Coturnix japonica: one gene and its partner. The protein of the gene in region 2 interacts with the protein of the main gene of each other region in a biochemical or structural test. Links are inferred from orthologs where the notes say so. Each region holds a gene or a part of one and is shown on either strand. Other genes may lie near its edges.

What was found.
Region 1: the proteins of UBC (region 2) and USP32 form a complex in vitro, tested with the Homo sapiens proteins (2 studies listed by BioGRID). The link is inferred for Coturnix japonica from reciprocal best matches to the Homo sapiens genes UBC and USP32.

What each region holds. Positions count from the first base shown.
Region 1 is NC_029534.1:6,771,738-6,775,556, reverse strand, and holds the start of USP32 (ubiquitin carboxyl-terminal hydrolase 32), read right to left. Parts: upstream 2,711-3,819; 5' UTR 2,615-2,710; coding exon 2,557-2,614; intron 1-2,556. UniProt on the Homo sapiens protein: Deubiquitinase that can remove conjugated ubiquitin from target proteins, such as RAB7A and LAMTOR1.
Region 2 is NC_029534.1:5,348,165-5,351,764, reverse strand, and holds the start of UBC (polyubiquitin-C), read right to left. Parts: upstream 2,335-3,600; 5' UTR 2,174-2,334; intron 2,113-2,173; exon of another isoform or gene 1,988-2,112; intron 1,438-1,987; 5' UTR 1,432-1,437; coding exon 58-1,431; 3' UTR 1-57.

The DNA.
Region 1 (3,819 bases), about 1.4 Mb from region 2:
TAGGGGATCCTCGTTGAAGTGTTCTAAACAGAACACAGCTCACAGCAGCCCCCAGCAAAGCAGGATCCAAGGCTGCCAGTAGAAGGGGGAGGAGGAGAAGGCAGACTTCAGAGCAACACCTCTCAGCATAAGACAAGGCCTCACACTGGGCAATCTCAGGCACGTGCTGCAGAAGGCACCAAACCCAGGTGGGGTACAGACTGAGCCAGGGAAGCCTTCCCTAAGGCAAACAAAAAGCCACCACCACCAAACTGTCACATCTCTTGGGGTAAGAAAAAGCAACAAACCCAAGAACCACGTTTGTGTCGCTACTCATTACAAACTTCGTTCGATGAGAAAACCTATTTCATTATGCATAGTTTTGCAACAACGTACATACTTCATTTCACCTATGATGACTTGTCCGAGAATTTAATTTCCTTACAAAGATGTCAACTTCAAAGTTTACAGGGTCAGGAAGAGCCTCGCTCAAAGATAAGTACAAGTTCCAAACCTTTAACATTCCCACAGCAACGGGTAAAGTTGTGCCTCTGGCTACGATGAGCATAGCTCAGCAATATTCCTAACAAGAAAAGAGCTGTCTAAAATAGAAGCCCTTACCTTCCACTCCCAAGCTACACAACCAAAGATTTTAAAGGGCAGAAGAGAGAAAGGAGACTGTAACACAGTGTGAGCTGTGCTGGGGGCCATGAGGCAGCTCCACCAGGGCCACCCGCCAGCCCCATCACCCGCAGGGCACTCAGCTGCCCGCACCCACCAGCAAGATATAAACAAAGTAGGAACCACAGCGCTATCTCATGTTCCAGAGCCAACAGGGCCATTAACACTGCCCTCCCATTTTCATCTCTTTGAACAGAAGTTACATTTTAGCTACTGTTATTTATATTGTGAGCATTTAACCGCAGGAACGCTCCTCACCTTCACTCCTTTGGGTTCTTCTCCAAGAGAAATTATGATACATAAAATATAAATAGAATATAAACATTTCCCAACAGTTAATAACCTACAGACAACATTAGATAAGGTACAGAAACTGAGCATGGAAGGACATGGCTTTTATTTCCTTATGAACAGTGTCTTGATACTTGGCCTGTTTTATGCACAGAGATTCACTGGTGAAGCAACACAACCATTGAACAAAACATTGAGCCTGAAACAACTTCTGCTTTCCTACAGAAATACAGAATTCAAAGATTTAAGTAGAAAGAATAGCACTAAAAATTACATTCACTATGCAAGAAGTAATTTAGAATAACTTCAGAATTCATCTTACTTTCGTGTTAAGTAACTTTTCCCTACAAAGCTTCCAGATCGGCCTCCACATTCTGAAGCAATATACAAGTTTAAATCTAACTTCACAATTTCAAACAGCTTCCCTAATTTATGAGCTTTCAGCCTTGACCAAATGAACATTCTCCTCCACTGAGTTTATTCCAAACGTTTCCTGCTATATTCAATGTCACACCTCTACCCAACTACATTTATGACTCCAGTGCCTCTAAAAATATATACAATATACAGAGCTATATATACAGAGACGCTTTACAGGAGCTTCAGATACTTTCACTGCAACTGAAATTCAAGACCGTTCTGTCTGAAATCTGTAATGAAAAGGAGTTCGAATCACACATTCGTTTCCTCTGCTTGACAGTATTTACAACGTGCTGCTCCACTTCCTACTTGACATGGCATCCCTCATCTCCACCATTAAAAAAGAGGGATATCTAATGAACATCTAATACATGTTCCATTTGGCGTTACTTTGCTCCCCCTTCAATTAACGCTCGCTGCCAGCTCTCCCTATCAGTCATGTGCTCCTCAGGTGTGAGCAGACACAAACAGGGCAGCCACGCACCGCTCCGAGCCGACGGAATTTATCAGCGCCGCAAACATCAAACAGGTGACCTGCCACACTCACGGCATCACGCGCACACACAGCCCGACCATCCCAAGAAATCCTCCATACAAACCACCTCCTGGACAAAACCCCCGTCCCTCTTTGTCCTCGGACAGCGCAGCAGAGCGGGGCTGCTGTCAGGGTGAGCAGCTCGTGTCCATGTTTACGCGTCGTTTCCCCTCCGGGATCGCGGGAGCCCGGCACGGCAACACGCGGAGCGGAGCCGCCACGGCCCCGCGGGGCGCAGTGCGCGCTGCCGCCGGTCAACGCTCGGGGCGGGCGCCGGCTGCTGTCAGCGAACCTCGCCCGGTGCCACCCTCGGGGGCGGCCGCCAAACGACGAGGCCCGACCGGTGCCGGCGGAGCCTGGGTGTGGGCAGCGCCGCCAGGGCGGAGGGCGCGGGGACGGGCGCTGCTCAGGGCCCGGTGCTAAAGAGCGTGTGGGGGGAGCAATGAACACAGGGGGGGAGCAATGATCACAGGGGGGGAGCAATGGATCCAGGGGGGGAGCAATGGATACGGGCGGGGTAGCGCACCCGAGGCGCACAACGGCGCACCCCCCCCGCTCCGCTCCGGTACAGCGGCAGCCCCCCGGGCGCTGACAGAACCGGGCCCCCCGCCGCCGCCGCGCCCCCTGCCCGCCTTCCCCCCGGCCCTCACCCCTTCGCAAGGCCTCGTCGTAGCTGAGGAAGCCGATGCGGGACTCCTTGGCTCCCATGGTGCCCCTCAGTCCATGGCCCGGCCGGCGGGGCGCCGCGGAGCCCGGGCTGCGCCGCTCAGCGCCTCCGGAGCGCAGGGCGGGGGGGGGCGGGGCGGGACGCGGCTGCCGGGGGGAGGAGGAGGAGGAGGAGTAGGCCGCGCGCCCTCCCAGCCGCCTCCTCCATGGCGGGTCACGTGATGCGGCCGCCCGCCCCGGAGCGTCACGTGACGCAGGCGGGCCGTTGCGCTGCCCTCCCTCAGCGCCTCCTAACGGACGGCGCGAGACGGAGCTGAGGAGAGGCCACGTGACACGGCGCTTCCCGCCTCACGCTCGCCGCGCTCCAATGGCCGCCGCCTCCTCACGGCGGTTGTTGTTGTTGTGGGGGCTGAGCTGCGCCCGGCAGCACCGCTCAGGAACCTGCCCTGCGCTTTGCATTCAGCGCCCAGCACAACGCTGGGTCCCGTTGGTTTTCCAGCTGGTTCTGTTACAACATTAAGCCTGGTATCACAGAATCACGGAATGACACAGGTTGGAAGGGACCTCAAGGATCATGTAGTTCCAACCCCCTGCCTGGCAGGGCCACCAAACATACACCTTTACTAGATCAGGTTGCCCATGGCCCCGTCCAACCTGGCCTTGAACACCTCCAAGTTCGGGGCATCCACAACCTCCCTGGGCAGCCTGTTCCAGGGCCTAACCACTCTCCTAGTGAAGAACTTCCCCCTGACATCCAACCTAAATCTTCCCTCCTTCAACTTAAAACCATTTCCCCGTGTCCTGCTATTGTCAGCCCTTTCCAAGAGTTCACAGCCCTCCTGGGAGTAAGTTCCCTTCAGGTATTGAAAGGCTGCAATGAGGTCACCCCGCAACCTTCTCTTCTCCAGGCTGAACAAACCCAACTCCCTCAGCCTGTCCTCATAGGGGAGGTGCTCCAGCCCCCTGATCATCTTCCTGTCCCTCCTCTGGACCCTTTCCAAAATCTCCATGTCTTTCTTGTACTGAGGGCTCCACACCTGGACACGGTACAACAGATGGGGCCTCACAAGAGCCGAGTAGAGAGGGACAATCACCTCCCTATCCCTGCTGACCACCCCTCTCCTGATGGAGCCCAGGATCCCATTTGCTTTTCGGGCTGCCAGAGCACACTGCTGGCTCATGTTGAGTTTTTCATCCATCAGGACCCCCAGGTCTTTCTCTGCCGAGCATACCCTGCTCCGTCCCAA
Region 2 (3,600 bases):
GACTACAGTGCAAACACAAGTGCTGTGCATCTTGCTCGACAAGACTGCTGACAACAACTAATAGCCACCCCTGAGGCGCAGCACCAGGTGCAGGGTGGACTCCTTCTGGATGTTGTAGTCAGACAGGGTGCGCCCATCTTCCAGCTGCTTGCCAGCAAAGATCAGCCTCTGCTGATCGGGAGGAATGCCTTCTTTGTCTTGGATCTTGGCCTTCACATTTTCAATGGTGTCACTGGGCTCAACCTCAAGGGTGATGGTCTTACCAGTGAGGGTCTTCACAAAGATCTGCATCCCACCCCTGAGGCGCAGCACCAGGTGCAGGGTGGACTCTTTCTGGATGTTGTAGTCAGACAGGGTACGGCCATCTTCGAGCTGCTTGCCAGCGAAGATCAACCTCTGCTGATCGGGAGGAATGCCTTCCTTATCTTGGATCTTAGCCTTCACGTTCTCAATGGTATCGCTGGGCTCAACCTCAAGGGTGATGGTCTTGCCAGTCAGGGTCTTCACAAAGATCTGCATCCCACCCCTGAGGCGCAGCACAAGATGCAGGGTGGACTCCTTCTGGATGTTGTAGTCAGACAGGGTGCGCCCGTCTTCCAGCTGCTTGCCAGCAAAGATCAGCCTCTGCTGATCAGGAGGAATGCCTTCTTTGTCTTGGATCTTGGCCTTCACGTTCTCGATGGTGTCACTGGGCTCAACCTCAAGGGTGATGGTCTTGCCAGTCAGGGTCTTCACAAAGATCTGCATCCCTCCCCTGAGGCGCAGCACAAGATGCAGGGTGGACTCTTTCTGGATGTTGTAGTCAGACAGGGTGCGCCCATCTTCCAGCTGCTTGCCAGCGAAGATCAGCCTCTGCTGATCGGGAGGAATGCCCTCTTTGTCTTGGATCTTGGCCTTCACGTTCTCGATGGTGTCACTGGGTTCAACCTCAAGGGTGATGGTCTTGCCAGTCAGGGTTTTCACGAAGATCTGCATCCCTCCCCTCAGACGCAGCACAAGATGCAGGGTGGACTCCTTCTGGATGTTGTAGTCAGACAGGGTGCGCCCGTCTTCGAGCTGCTTGCCAGCGAAGATCAACCTCTGCTGATCGGGAGGAATGCCTTCTTTATCCTGGATCTTGGCCTTCACATTCTCAATGGTATCGCTGGGCTCAACCTCAAGGGTGATGGTCTTGCCAGTCAAGGTCTTCACAAAGATCTGCATCCCTCCCCTGAGGCGCAGCACCAGGTGCAGAGTGGACTCTTTCTGAATGTTGTAGTCAGACAGGGTGCGCCCGTCTTCCAGCTGCTTGCCAGCAAAGATCAGCCTCTGCTGATCGGGAGGAATGCCTTCCTTGTCTTGGATCTTGGCCTTCACATTCTCGATGGTGTCACTGGGCTCAACCTCAAGGGTGATGGTCTTGCCAGTCAGGGTCTTCACAAAGATCTGCATGTTTACCTGAAAAACATACAGAAATTTTAGCCTTAGCTAAAAAGCACTTTAAGTCCACATACACCTTACAAACGAGAAAAAAAAGAACAACTTACTAATTTGCATTACGTTACATCATTTAGGATTTCAATAAGCTATAACTAACCCTGTTGTTCCTGTTCCCCACCTCTTCCTTGAGGTAGGACCCTATAATTCTGAATGCCCTGTGCTGGCCGAGCCCAGCACCCCCCTTCCTTTAACTCCAGGGCACCCCCCCGTGCTCTCACACTGGCACAACGGCTGCAGCCGCGCTGACTCAGCTCCCGCTTCCGGGCCGCACAGCGCCGCGCTCCGCCATCTTTATAACACCCCACCTTCCTCAGCCACAAGCTTCCCCTGCCCCCCCCCCCCCCTCGCACCGTTCTTCAAGCGCCCTTAGGCCGGATTAGACCGTCCACAACCACCTCCCCTCACAAATACAACCCCAAGCGGACTCACTCCAACCCCTTCTGCCTTGAAAACAAAAAACCACCGTCCCTTCTCTCCCCCCCCTCAGCGCTCCCCCCACACAACTCACGTCTCCGGCCCTGAGCTCCGATCAATGCAATCCCGATCCCAGTCGCTGTGTTCTGCGCTGTGACGCAGCGCCGCCCCTATTTATGCTCCTTGCGCCGCACAGTCCCCGCCCTCAAAGCGCTGACGTATCCCTCCGCCTCTCAAAGTAGTCCCAAACGAACCCCCCCCCGGTACCAGCAATACTCACCTCTCTACCGCTCCAATCCCTCCTCCAGGAGTAATGGGGTCCGTGATGTCCTCGGTAGAGAGAGGAGACCCTTCAAAATCCCAAAAGTTCTGAGGGCGCGGATGGATCTGGAGCTGCGGTGAAACGGCCTAATGAAACGTTCTAATCCCAACGGTGGCAAGATCGGCGCTGATTGGCGCAGCAGTAAGAAAGGTGGCTGCTGATTGGTTGTTAAGGAAAGATCCGTTGTAAAGAAAGCTCTGGAAGATTCCAGCGTTGCAGCGTTCTGATTGGTGCGCGGTGAGGTCAGCGCTGTTGCTAGGGCGGCCCTGCTCTGCGGGGGCAGATTTCGGTGGGGTGGGGGGGTGTGCGCATGCGCAGATCCGTAGAGTGGGGGCAGGGAGAGGCCGGGCAGGCCCCGCGCCCATGGGGACGTTGTGTTTAGGCCGCATCTTTTTGCCTGTTATTTGCTTAGGGAAGGGTCTGACAAGGAGAAAGGGGGCAAAAATACCCCTTAATCACAGCAGGCCCACTGCTGCTTTCAGAACAGGAAGCACTGAACAGGTCACACAGCAGCTTCCTGCTTTGAGCCGACGTGGCGGCATGTTTTGTGTTCATTAAAGCTCATTATACCTTTCAGAACAGCTCTTATATCATAACCAGAGCATGCAGAAAGCAGGAAGGTTTCTCTGCTGTTTCATTTACTGCTCGGTGAACACAGATGAACTTGCTGGTAAATCCTCTGCTTAGGAAGCACGAACGTGTGTGTGAATAGCAGGACTGAACACAGGGCTGTATTTCCCCCAGTTAAAAAGAGAGCTTTCACTTCTTTTAGCAAGGCCTGTGACTGCTCAGCACTTGGTTTACAGTAAAAAGGACATAAATCTTCCCAGCAGTTACTCAGAATGTAGACGGGAAGGGAGGAAAAGAGAAACTGGAAACCTCGGAGATACTATTCAGCTACATAGATTTAGGACTACGTAGATTTAGGACTACGTAGATTTAGGACAAAGGCCTTACTTAAGCAACGCTGTTTCCTTAATACTGCCAACTTTGCTCACTGTTTCCAATAGGCTCTTTTCGTGTACATAGCACCAAAGCAGCAGAGGTTAGAGCCAAGGCAGCTAAACAAGGAGCTCTGAGAGGAAAGCCATGAGAAACTAGCAATAATATTTACAAATGTGAAAGGCCACAGCTGCTAAACTGGATATTAACCACAACGCTAAGCTAAAGTCTGCCCTGGGTGTTTTGGGTTTGCATGAAGGATTTCGGCACTTTCAGAAAATGCCAGAGCCCTCCCTTCAACAAACAAGCAAAAAAACTATTGCCAAATCCTATGAGTAAACTATTTACGAAAGCAGTTGTTTTCTAGTTAAATATATCTAAGTACTTAGCACACATACTGCCCTTCCTCCAGTAGCTCCATGTGAATAAGCAACTGACTGGAC